Linked DNA regions of Macaca fascicularis. The protein of the gene in region 4 interacts with the protein of the main gene of each other region in a pairwise test. Links are inferred from orthologs where the notes say so. Each region holds a gene or a part of one and is shown on either strand. Other genes may lie near its edges.

Region 1 (2,764 bases), on a different chromosome or scaffold from region 4:
GAAATTGGAGCTAGTGGGTCATACTGCCCCCAGCATGTCACGCTGCCTGTCACTGTCACATTCTTTGATGTTTCTGAGCAAAATGCCCCGGCTCCCTTCCTGGTATGCCTTGACTCCAACCCCAAAGTCAGCTCATCAGGAGGATAAGGAATTGGGGCGGGGCTGGGTGCAAGAGGTATTTTTTACTTATTCCTCACCTAGGAGTGAGTCAGGGCCAGGTGAGGAGAACTCTAGTGTAGGGCAGGGGCAGGTTCAGGGTGAGAGACTGTGGAGAGGGACATGTATTTAGGGCTCAGAGTTTTCCTAGTCCCCACCTTGACTGATGGCTCCCTGGCCTTCCCAGGGCATCGTGGATCTGAACCCCCTGGGGAGGAAGGGTTACAGCGTGCCCAAGGTGGGCACCATCCAAGTGGTGAGTTTGCCCTGAGGGAGTGGGAGTGGGGAGAGAGGAAAGCAGCCCTCAGGCTGTACCAACCTTGACTGTCCTGTCCCCAGACCTTATTTAACCCCAACCAGACTGTGGTAAAGATGTTCCTCGTGACCTTTGACTTCTCGGACATGCCTGCTGCCCACATGACCTTCCTTCGCCATCGCCTCTTTTTGGTGCCTGTGGGTGAGGAGGGAAATGCTAACCCCACCCACCGCCTCCTCTGCTACTTGCTGCACCTCAGGTGAGGAGAGGGCCCAGGGACGGCTGGGGAGGCCCAGGTATCCCTTCCCTGAAGAGGATCTCTCCTTGCTTCGATACTGTTTGGATTCTTGCTTGGTTTATTTTTAAATTTTTATGTATGTGTGTATGTGTGTGTGTATATATTTATTTATTTATTTATTTATTTATTTATTTATTTATTTATTTTTAGAGACAGAGTCTTGCTATGTTGCTCAGGCTGGTCTCCAACTCCTGGGCTCAAGCAGTCCTCCCACCTGGACCTCCCAAAGCACTGGAATTACAGGCATGAGCTACTGCGACCAGCCTGGATTCTTAATTTGATAACATTGTCCTCCTCAGGTTCCGGAGCTCCCGCTCAGGCCGCTTAAGCCTGCATGGAGATATCCGCCTGCTTTTTTCCCGCCGGAGCCTGGAGCTGGACACAGGGCTCCCTTACGAACTGCAGGCTGTGACCGAGGCCCCTCATAATCCACGTTATTCACCTTTGCCCTGATTGCCAGCACTCTGAATCCATGCGGCCTAACGACCTGCCCATCCTGCTCCATCTTAGAGAACATATATGGAGAGACAGCAAGAGACCCTTCAGGCTTGAATTAAAGCCCTCACCATGCTCTTGCCCAAATGGATTATTTGGGTGTTTAAAGCTTCTGATCCTTACTACACCCTGCCCTACTCGGGTACTCCATGTGCCTGTCCCCTCCCTTGGGTTTCCCAGGCCAGCTTAGGTAGGGAGGAACCGGAGCTACCCTGAGGTTGTCCCAAGTTCCCAGGCAAGTTATGCCAGCGTTGCCTCCCCATCCTGGGCAGGGGCCACTTATTATTTTATTTATTTTTAATTTATAATTTATTCAAATTGGATTGCCTTGGTAACCTCCCACACCTGATAATTGGCATCACTCCCCCCCCTTCCCACTCTCAGATATTGCTCCAACCTCAAGAGTTGAAGAGGCTTACGCCGGGGGTAGGAGGAGAACTGCTCTCCCTCAGCTGAGGGAAGAGGGGCTATTCCAGAGGGACTGAGTCAGTAGCCAAAGACTCAGCTTCCCCTGCCCTTCCCCTAGTCCCTTCACTTCCCCTACCCTCTGACCTATCTCTGAAAGCCAAGTTAGGCGTTTGTGTGTGTACACGAGCTTGTCTTTGTGTGGTGTGTGTGTGTGAGAGAGTGTACATGTATGCACACACACAGGGGTTAACCACCCCTCACCTAGGGCTCCAGACTCCAGTTGTCCCTCTCCTCCTGCCTGTGTCTCCTTGCTTTGGGGTCCTGACTGAAGAAGGTGTCCAGGGGGCAGAGTCAGGGCCAAGCACTGGGGTGCCTCCACTCACCTGGCCAGACTCTGACCCACCTACCTCAGCTGGGGTGAGGGGCACCCCTCAAACTCAGTCATGTGGTTCCAAATTACCCCATTCCCCACTCCAGACTCTGACCCAGCCTCAGTCCTGACTCCTGAGGCTGGGCTGAGGGGAACAAGCATTTGCTGAAACTTGAAAAAACAAAGCAAATCAGAAACAGGAAAAAATTGTACCTGGTACTTTTTTTTAGAAAAAAAAAAGATTAAAAAAGAAAGAATAAATTCTTGTTTGGAAACTTGAACTAAGCTCTACTTTTGTTGTTGTTGTTGTTGGGGAGAGGGTGCGAAGGGGGATAGAGGGCCTTCCTGGAGCTGGGACTCAGCCCTTTCTACCAGAGAGGAGGCAACAGGCCTGGGCCCATGAGGTCTTAGGCTAGCCCCTGCTGATTCCTGGGGCCTGGTCTTGCTCCTTTCGGAGGAGTTGGTGGGTAAAGTTGAGTCCTAGAAGCTGAATTCTGAATTGTAGATCAGGATTCTGATACTGGTTCTGTTAATGACTTTAGCCCTTCAGAACTTCAGTGCCCTCATATGTAAAATGGAGGTGACTACGGAGGTCTCTTGACTACCAGAACATCAGGGATGTGTGCAAGGTGACGTGCTCCAGACAAGGTTGAACGTTGAGGCTGTTTGCCGGACTCGGTATTTAAGACCGGGCATAACAAACCTTGCTTGGAAAGAGAGGGAAGGAGCTGTAGTGTCTTTGAGGAAAGAGGGGAGGGGAAAATCTCGTCCCAATCGCCAG
Region 2 (3,025 bases), on a different chromosome or scaffold from region 4:
ACATAGATGGTTTTCAACAAGAGTGCCAAGACAATTTAGTAGGGACAGAATACTGTTTAACAAGTGGTGCTGGAACAAGGAGGTATCCATATGCCAAAGAATGAAGCTGGGCCTTATTCCATAGCACATACAAAAATTAACTCAAAATGGATAAAAGACCTAAAAGGTCCCAAAGAGCTGAGGCCAGAAAACTCGTAGAAAAGCCATAGGGGTAAATCTTCATGACCTTGGATTTGGTAATGGATTCTTAGATAGCACACCAGAAGCATGAGCAAAGAGAGAAACAGACAAATTGGACTTCATCAAAAGTAAAACAAAACAAAAAACAAATTTTGTGCTTCAAAGGACAGTATCAAAAAAATGAAAAGCCAACCCAGAGAATGGGAGAAAACATTTGTAAATTGTGCATTTGAAATGGGACTAGTATGCAGAATATTTAAGAACTCTGACAATTCAACAGTAAGAAGACAAACAATCCAATGAAAAATCGCTATAGGACCTGAATAGATATTTCTTCAAAGAAGATACAGTATATAAATGGCCAATAAGCATGTGCGAAGATGCTTAAATCACTAGTTGTTAGTGAAATGCAAATGAGATGCTGTTTCCCATCCCTCAGGAAAAAGATGGACAAGGTCATGTGCTGTTATGGACTCGGATGCCATCAGAGGCTGTCCTGGGGAGGGGGGTTTGGAAGCAGGTTTTGTGGGGCCATTGGAGACTCCTAAGTAATGTCGAGGAAGTAATTAAAATAGAACGTCCTGGGCCAGGCATGGTGGCTCACGTTTGTAATCCCAGCACTATGGGAGGCCCAGGCGGGCGGATCACCTGAGGTCAGCAGTTCGAGACCAGCCTGGCCAACATGGTGAAACCCCATCTCTACTAAAAATACAAAAACGTAGCTGGGTGTGGTGTCACGCAGCTATAGTCCCAGCTACTCGGGAGGCTGAGGCAGGAGAATCGCTTGAGCCGGGGAGGCGGAGGTTGCAGTGAGTGGAGTTGGCACCACTGCACTCCAGCCTGGATGATAGAGTGAGACTGCAGCTTAAAAAAAAGAATGTCCTGCCAATCCAGCGATCATCTTCTCAGAGGTAGGAAAGAATGAAGCCATTTTACTGACTAAACATTAAAGCAGCCTTTGAGGCCCAGAGGTTGCCAAGACAGAGGAAGGGGGGAGGTCCCCCTTCCTCCCAGGCAAGCCGACTGGCCCTGTTCCGCAGGCGTCCTCACTGGAGGGGACCCGTCCGAACTCACACCTCCAGGGCCGGGTTCCTCTGTCCTCGCAGGGCCAGCGCTGGGGCAGGCTCCCCCGTGACAGGGGACCAGTTCCCACCCTCAAGATTAAAAGGTTTACCTCGTCCCAAAGGGACAGAAGGGAGCCGAGGACAGGGCGAAGGGAAACCTGTCTTGCCCTTTGGCACTTTAAGAAGCTCCTTTTCTTTCAGATTCTATTTGCCAGACAGTGGGGGGTGGCGGCAGGCGGGGCGGGGTGGGGGATGGAGGAGCCGCCCCCCAAGTGCCGGGGGACGGAGGGGGGGACCCTCTGGGGCAATAGATCCTCGCGCTCCCGTGACCTTGTCCCCGGCCTTCCCTCCCCCAGAGATCCAGAGCTTCGCGGGCGCCGAGAAGGACGCGCGCGTGGTGGGCGAGATCGCCTTCCAGCTGGACCGCCGCATCCTGGCCTACGTGTTTCCGGGCGTGACGCGGCTCTACGGCTTCACGGTGGCCAACATCCCCGAGAAGATCAAGCAGGTGCGCCCCGCGGGGAGGGCGCGGCCAGGAGGGTGCTGGGCGCTCGGTTCATCCCTGTGAGGCCCCCAGATCTTGGCTCTTGCCCGGGCGCTGTCCGCGGGAGGGGACCCCGGGGACCCAGGAGGGCGGGGCAGGGGTCGGCCCTGGGCCTGGAAGTCCCCGTCCGAGGGCCCCGAGATCCCCCCGCCTCCGCCATCCATGCGCTGCGCCCGCAGACCTCCATCAAGTCCCTGGACGGCTCCGTGGACGAGAAGAAGCTGCGCGAGCTGACGCAGCGCTACCTGGCCCTGAGCGCGCGCCTGGAGAAGCTGGGCTACAGCCGCGACGTGCACCCGGCGTTCAGCGAGTTCCTCATCAACACCTACGGAATCCTGAAGCAGCGGCCCGACCTGCGCGCCAACCCCCTGCACAGCAGCCCGGCCGCGCTGCGCAAGCTGGTCATCGACGTGGTGCCCCCCAAGTTCCTGGGCGACTCGCTGCTGCTGCTCAACTGCCTGTGCGAGCTCTCCAAGGAGGACAGCAAGCCACTCTTCGCCTGGTGAGCCGCCCCGCGCCCACCGCCTTGCCTGCAGTAAACGCGTTTGTTCCAACCCGGAGGCCGTGGTGCCTCCTGCGCGTCCTCCCGGAGGGGAAAGGGCCGCGCTCCCCGCGCGCGAGGCCGGAGCAGGCGCCTCTCCCGCCCGCGCTGGGCCCCGACCGCAGCCCGCCGCCGCCCGCACCTGCGGAGTGCTTGTCACCCCTCATTAAATCATCCGTTTGCTTGTCTGCCTTTACCAAACTCTGGCTCTTTGAGGGCGTGGAGGGCGCCTGCAGGAAGCGCCGCTCGGTGCTCCTGGCGGGAAGCCGGGAAGGAGCCGCAGGCTGCAGGGACCCCCGCTCCCCACTTTCTTCTCCGCCTCCCCACCCCTCCCCCGGGCCTCCGCACCCACCCGCTTTCCTGCCCGGGACGACGAGTCCTGTCCCAGTTTGAGTTTCCCCAAATGACAAGCTGGGGTAAGGATTTGGTTCTGGCGGATGGTTGCGCACCCCTGCAGGCAAAATGGAAACGCGGCCCCTTGTTCAAAAGCGAAGAATTCGAAGAATTCGAAAGAGCAACAGCCGAGCGTTACAGTGAACCGGGGCCTTAGGACTGAGCGGTGGCAACGCAGGCGGGCGAGCGCCAGGGAGCCCCGAGACCGTGGGCGTGCAGGGGGTGGGCGAGCGCTGGGGAGCCCTGGAGACCATGGGGGTGCTGGGGGTGGGCGAGTACAGGGGAGCCCCGGAGACCATGGGG
Region 3 (2,297 bases), on a different chromosome or scaffold from region 4:
GAACCCTGAACAAACACTCTGGCATTGACTTCAAACAGCTTAACTTCCTGACGAAGCTCAACGAGAATCACTCTGGAGAGGTGACCCCTGCCCTTCTTGCCCTTCCCTCACTAAACCCCCGTAAATTACCTGCTTTGTACCTGGTTTAAGTTTTTCCTCCAGTTAGAGGGCAAGGAAGTGGTAGCAACAGTAAAAGCCTCCTAACCTCTACCTATTCTTCAGCTATGGAAGGGCCGCTGGCAGGGCAATGACATTGTCGTGAAGGTGCTGAAGGTTCGAGACTGGAGTACAAGGAAGAGCAGGGACTTCAATGAAGAGTGTCCCCGGCTCAGGTAGTGCAAGGCGTAACCTGGAAGCTGCTAGTTCCAGGGAATCCTGAATAGCACTGAAAGAGATCTTTTATACTCTGTCTCAACCACTCCCTCCCTCTTCCAGGATTTTCTCGCATCCAAATGTGCTCCCAGTGCTAGGTGCCTGTCAGTCTCCACCTGCTCCTCATCCTACTCTCATCACACACTGGATGCCATATGGATCCCTCTACAATGTACTACATGAAGGCACCAGTGAGTAGAGATGTTGAATTTTCTTGGGGAGGAAATGGGAGAGAGGGTGCATGAGCCTCTCTGAACTATTTGAACTTTTGCTTCCTCTCAGATTTCGTCGTAGACCAGAGCCAGGCTGTGAAGTTTGCTTTGGACATGGCAAGGGGCATGGCCTTCCTACACACACTAGAGCCCCTCATCCCACGACATGCGCTCAATAGCCGTAGTGTAATGGTGAGGCCACAAGCTCACTCCTGGCCCAGGCCCCAAAAGTCCTTTGCCTATCTATGACTTACCTCCTTCTGTTTTCTCTTCCTCAGATTGATGAGGACATGACTGCCCGAATTAGCATGGCTGATGTCAAGTTCTCTTTCCAATGTCCTGGTCGCATGTATGCACCTGCCTGGGTAGCCCCTGAAGGTGGGTGAAGTCATCATGTTGGGAGGTGAAAAAGGATCACCTCAGAAGTAGTGGAAGGGGGCAGAGACAGGAAAGGCCAGGGGGCCAGAACAGACAAGCCCTATCCCTCTAGCTCTGCAGAAGAAGCCTGAAGACACAAACAGACGCTCAGCAGACATGTGGAGTTTTGCAGTGCTTCTGTGGGAACTGGTGACACGGGAGGTACCCTTTGCTGATCTTTCCAATATGGAGATTGGAATGAAGGTGAGAGCAGAACAGCATACATTTGTGTTGGGGGAGTGGTTGGTTATGGTGAAAATAACTGTAGTGGGCCTGGGCTCCTCCCATATTTGTTCGGATATACAGTTATCCTGTCCCAGGGGCCAGTGGCTTCTCTCTACATGACAGACTCAAATTGTGAGGCTCAGTTTTTTCTTGTATTCACAGGTGGCATTGGAAGGCCTTCGGCCTACCATCCCACCAGGTATTTCCCCTCATGTGTGTAAGCTCATGAAGATCTGCATGAACGAAGACCCTGCAAAGCGACCCAAATTTGACATGATTGTGCCTATCCTGGAGAAGATGCAGGACAAGTAGGACCGGAAGGCCCTTGCCTGAACTCCAGAGGTGTCAGGACATGGTTGGGGGAATGTACTTCCCCAAAGCAGCAGACCTCTGGTTGCCTCCCCTGCCTCCAGTCATGGTACTACCCCAGCCATGGGGTCCATCCCCTTCCCCCATCCCTACCACTGTGGCCCCAAAAGGGGCGGGCTCAGAGCTTTGTCACTTGCCACATGGTGTCTCCCAACATGGGAGGGATCAGCCCCGCCTGTCACAATAAAGTTTATTATGAAAACAGGCTGGTGTGGGGACATGGGGACAGACAAGTACATTTAGGTTGGGTGGCTCAGGTGAAGTAGTGCGGCTTCTTCACATTGATGCCATACTCGCTGAGGGCAGGGGTCAAGTCCTCCATGGTTAAAGTATACTTGCGGTCCTGAGGGAAGAGGGAAGAGCACCAACTGAGCACAGGAATCCCACACTTCAATCCCAGATGGGTGACCCTGAGTAAGTTTTACACCTCCCCTAGGATTCAGTTTCCCCAAAGGGGTGGCAGGATAAGCTTCCACTGTTGTGGAAGGTAATTAGTGATTCAATGAGCCTCCCCTCACACCTTGCTCTTGCTCCGGGAGCTGCCGGAGGCTGTGCCCTTCATTTTGCAGTGCTGTAGGGCATCATTGGCAATATCTGAGATGAATTTCTGGGCAGCTAGGGAGATGAGCCGAATTCTAGAGAGAAAAAACTTAGATGAGAAGGAGATGGACAACACACTGCACAAGCACCCAAAACTAACCT
Region 4 (4,264 bases):
TTTGAACGACTGGGTACTCAGAGTATGGTTGCAAGGTGGATGTGGGTTTGGGGTTGGCAAGTGCACTTAGTCCCTCAGACTTCTTGTCCCATGGGGAAGAGGACCAGAGGGGAACTCTAAAGTGATGATGTGGGCTGCTTTGCCTATGGAGTAGCCATTCTTTATTCCTTTACTTTCTTAATAAACGTACTTTCACTTTGAAAAAATAAAATAAAAATCAAGTAAGGTCTGGAAGCAGAAGCCCGTATTGCTCAGATAGCAGGACAATATTGAGAAAATCTCAAAGAAAAGCAGGAGACATCAAGCAAGGGATAAGAAAGCAACTTAAAAATGCTGGAGGTCTACTGCATGATAAGACAACGAGTATTGTGGGACTCCAAGACCCTGGGTCACTGTAGGATTCTTAGTCTCTCTATACTTCAGAAAGGAGCAAGCAATTTTTAGTTGCTCCTCAATACAACAACCCTATGTAATGGGCATTTTGTTACTATTTTAATGGATAAACAACCTTATGGTTCAAAAAGTAAAAGATGTAACGAAATCTACTTCTTTACGGCGGTACAGTTATCATCCCCATTTCACACGAGGAGAAACTGAGGTAAATGAATGGTAAACCAACTTGCTTGGGCACAAGTGAGAGGTAGCAGAGCTGGGCTTGTTATTGCCACACAGAAATGTTACCATCTGATAATTAAACCTTTCTTTTTCTAAACAAAACTGCAAGTGCCTACAAATGGGTCTGTTTAATAAAAGGCCTCACCTATCAGGTGGGCTCAGACGGTGACCCTCCTCATCCTCCAGCCTCTTGGGGAAGCCAGATGTCTGCGCTCCCCAGCACCTATATAAAGCCAGCTTTCTTTCTTCTTTTCTTTTTTTTTCAAGACGGAGTCTCGCTCTGTCGCCCAGGCTGGAGTGCAGTGGCGATCTCGGGTCACTGCAACCTCCGCCTCCAGGGTTCAAGCGATTCTGCTGCCTCAGCCTCCTAAGTAGCTGGGACTACAGGCGCCTGCCACCACGCCCGGCTAATTTTTCTATTTTTAGTAGAGATGCGGTTTTACCATGTTGGCCAGGATAGTCTCGATCTCCTGACCTCGTGATCCACCCGCCTCGGCCTCCCAAATGCTGGGATTACAGGCGTGAGCCACTGCGCGCGGCCAAAGCCATCTTTAGCAGGGGCTGAGACCTGGGCACCAAGAAGAAACCCAACTAAACACTAGGGGCCTGGGCCCGGCAGTCGCGGAAGATTGTAGGCCCGGAGCGTGTGGCACCATCTGCTTTTGTGACCAGTCCCCTAGGCTAGAGCTTCGGCGCGACCCGCCCAAGGGAGAGTGGCGGAGCCTCCCAGGCCTTTCTAGAGAAAGCAGCCCGGGCCCCGAGGCCACGAAATCTTGTCACACACTATAAGCGCGGGCCAAGCCCCGCCCCCCGAGCCGCCTCTTCCGCTCGCGCCGGGGTGGGGTCTACGCGGCCGCCGGGATCCGCTCGGACGCGGCCACGTTGTCTTGCGCGCTTTGCGCGCCTGGCCCTGGGATCCTGACCCTTGGCTACCCGTTCCTGCCCCAGTAACGTGGCCGCGAGTCTCTGTGAGCCGGCTGTATTCCCGCACTCGCTCAGGGGGCACAGGCGCAGGGATCGGCCCGGCCACTCTGAGCCTTCGGTGCGCGGGCGCGTCTGGGATACGGGCCCGGGAGGCACCGCCCTCCGTCCGCCCGGTGCCTCCCAGGAACAGCGAACGGGAGAGAGCGCCGGAGAGTTGGGCTCCGTGCAGAGCTCGGCGCCGGGGCCCATGCCCGTGAGCCCCCGCAGGCCCGCGCCATGGCCTCCGGGAGCGTGGCCGAGTGCCTGCAGCAGGAGACCACCTGCCCCGTGTGCCTGCAGTACTTCGCAGAGCCCATGATGCTCGACTGCGGCCATAACATCTGTTGCGCGTGCCTCGCCCGCTGCTGGGGCACGGCAGAGACTAACGTGTCGTGCCCGCAGTGCCGGGAGACCTTCCCGCAGAGGCACATGCGGCCCAACCGGCACCTGGCCAACGTGACCCAGCTGGTGAAGCAGCTGCGCACCGAGCGGCCGTCGGGGCCCGGCGGCGAGATGGGCGTGTGCGAGAAACACCGCGAGCCCCTGAAGCTCTACTGCGAGGAGGACCAGATGCCCATCTGCGTGGTGTGCGACCGCTCCCGCGAGCACCGCGGCCACAGCGTGCTGCCGCTCGAGGAGGCAGTGGAGGGCTTCAAGGTGAGGGCGCGGATCCGGGAGGGCGGGAACGCGAGTCGGACAAAGGGAGGAGAGAGCCAAAGGGGCTTCCCTTTTTCCGCCTAGAAAATGGCTGAGCCGGACGTGTGGTTCACAGCCGTCATTTCCTCTCTGTCCGCTCCAGAGCCTCAGCACTCAGATTTGGAGGAAAACCTGTAGCTGGCGAGGGAGCCAGAAGTCTCCCCACCCCCACTCTCCTTTCTCTGTGTGCCCCCATGTTTCCTGTCTCACGGACACATTGTACACGGAGACATGCTTTTGACAGTATAAAAGAAGTGCATAAAATCGCTTGCACATCGACGAGCTGTAGAGACACATGTACTCTCGTCGGCTGTCAGACAAAACGCAGTCGGACATTAACTGACCGATGCCCATTCCTTGGTCTATAAGCATTTCCCCAGCACTTTCCTGCAATACGTCCTGGTCTAGAAACTCACAGAAAAGAACAGGCTCTTCACTGCTTAAGTCATTTAACCACTCTGAGACTCAGGAGATAACAGTTATGAGGAAGATTATGGAATCATGTGATGCACAGAGCCCTCTGTGAACTGGCACAGCTAAACAGAAACGTGGAAACAAAATATTACATATAAAACAGTTGTAAGGTGACCTTCAAGGAGTCCATGATACTGTGTATTTTCTGTATGTTGAGGGCTTCAGGAATTCATACACAATTATGTCCGTGTTTAAATATGAATACATTCATGTGTAATTAATCACTTAACATTTATGGACCTTTCAGCTATATTCTTTCACTTACTCTGGTGAGAACTCTTGAGTAGGTTGGGAAGATGGTGTTTGCCCATTTCACACATGAGGGAAATAAGAAGTCACTTTCACAGTATGCTTGTGTGGAAGAGCTACAATACAACATAACTCTAAGCCTCCTACTCCAGTCACAGTTCCGCTAAGTCATGCGATATCCTACCAGGGACAGGTAGATGATTCATTGTTTAAGATAGACACAAATAATCCTGACGAGGTAGCTGAGTGGTTGAAGCGACAGGCTGCTAAGATAGACACAAATTGCCAAATGAGTGGCTTGTTGGCCCCTGCGCCCTGAGTCTTTCTCTTGTGGGTGGCAGTGTGGCCTGAGAACAAGTGCCAACTGGATACTTGGCATCAGGTGTGTGGACTCCATGTGTGATTAGAAGTACCATGCTGATGCTAAGGTCTACCTAGTTTTGAACTGCCCATCTGTTTTGCTTTTCTCAGGAGCAAATCCAGAACCAGCTTGACCATTTAAAAAGAGTGAAAGATTTAAAGAAGAGACGTCGGGCCCAAGGGGAACAGGCACGAGCTGAACTCTTGGTAAGGGTTGTTGGAATTCACAGTCGCTTCTGCTGGTGCTCCCCTCTTCTGTAGAGCTGATGTTACTTCCCTTAGACTTGTCCAGCATGTCACCCAGAACCTGTAGGTAGAGGGGGATCAACTGCACATGGCAGTGGGAACTCACCCAGAGAACTAAGAGATTCCCTTTCTTTTGGGGAAAGCGTGGAGGAGCCAAGTTTGGAACCCTTGGAAATCAGACCTGTCAGTATAGTTTAACCTGCTAACTGCGTAGACCAAGGTTGATCCTTGGCAAAGCTGAGATGGGTAAAATTATTGGATACAGTTAGCTTGCGTTGTTACCATTCTTCAGACAAGTGCTAATAGTGGATTTGTGTAAGTCCCACTGTTGCTTCTCTTTGTGTTATTCTCCTTTCTTGACAATGCCTTAATTCTGAATTTTTTGCTCTGCTCTCTTCCTCCAATCTCTCAAGGCCTCGACAAGTGGCTGATGTATTAATTTATGATAGGGGTATATGGGAATTTTTTCTTTTTATTTCCGACAGGGTCTCACTCTGTCACCCAGGCTGGAGTGCAATGGCAAGGTTTCGACTCACTGCAACCTCTGCCTCACATTTCAAGTGATTCTCCCACCTCAGCCTCCCAGGTAGCTGAGGCTACAGGCATGTACCAACACACCCAGCTGATTTTTGTATTTTTAGTAGAGATGGGGTTTCACCAT

The links. The genes of interacting proteins can lie anywhere in the genome.
Region 1: the proteins of TRIM27 (region 4) and ATOSB interact in binary tests that used the Homo sapiens proteins (3 or more experiments, as listed by UniProt). The link is inferred for Macaca fascicularis from reciprocal best matches to the Homo sapiens genes TRIM27 and ATOSB.
Region 2: the proteins of TRIM27 (region 4) and SPATC1L interact in binary tests that used the Homo sapiens proteins (3 or more experiments, as listed by UniProt). The two-hybrid records come from large-scale screens. The link is inferred for Macaca fascicularis from reciprocal best matches to the Homo sapiens genes TRIM27 and SPATC1L.
Region 3: the proteins of TRIM27 (region 4) and ILK interact in binary tests that used the Homo sapiens proteins (3 or more experiments, as listed by UniProt). The two-hybrid records come from large-scale screens. The link is inferred for Macaca fascicularis from reciprocal best matches to the Homo sapiens genes TRIM27 and ILK.

The regions. Positions count from the first base shown.
Region 1 is NC_088389.1:64,324,357-64,327,120, forward strand, and holds the end of ATOSB (atos homolog protein B), read left to right. Parts: coding exon 1-102; intron 103-343; coding exon 344-412; intron 413-495; coding exon 496-671; intron 672-860; coding exon 861-1,038; coding exon of another isoform or gene 1,039-1,163; 3' UTR 1,164-2,264; downstream 2,265-2,764. UniProt on the Homo sapiens protein: Transcription regulator that may syncronize transcriptional and translational programs.
Region 2 is NC_088377.1:954,694-957,718, forward strand, and holds the end of SPATC1L (speriolin-like protein), read left to right. Parts: intron 1-953; exon of another isoform or gene 954-1,057; coding exon of another isoform or gene 1,058-1,091; intron 1,092-1,600; coding exon 1,601-1,752; intron 1,753-1,963; exon of another isoform or gene 1,964-1,967; coding exon 1,968-2,294; 3' UTR 2,295-2,525; downstream 2,526-3,025.
Region 3 is NC_088388.1:59,469,051-59,471,347, reverse strand, and holds the end of ILK (scaffold protein ILK), read left to right. Parts: coding exon 1-80; intron 81-222; coding exon 223-332; intron 333-435; coding exon 436-563; intron 564-654; coding exon 655-776; intron 777-862; coding exon 863-962; intron 963-1,074; coding exon 1,075-1,205; intron 1,206-1,388; coding exon 1,389-1,538; 3' UTR 1,539-1,797; downstream 1,798-2,297. Other genes in the region: TAF10 (transcription initiation factor TFIID subunit 10), read right to left, coding at 1,849-1,938, 2,116-2,230. UniProt on the Homo sapiens protein: Scaffold protein which mediates protein-protein interactions during a range of cellular events including focal adhesion assembly, cell adhesion and cell migration.
Region 4 is NC_088378.1:144,252,550-144,256,813, forward strand, and holds the start of TRIM27 (zinc finger protein RFP), read left to right. Parts: upstream 1-1,464; 5' UTR 1,465-1,815; coding exon 1,816-2,235; intron 2,236-3,468; coding exon 3,469-3,564; intron 3,565-4,264. UniProt on the Homo sapiens protein: E3 ubiquitin-protein ligase that mediates ubiquitination of various substrates and thereby plays a role in diffent processes including proliferation, innate immunity, apoptosis, immune response or autophagy.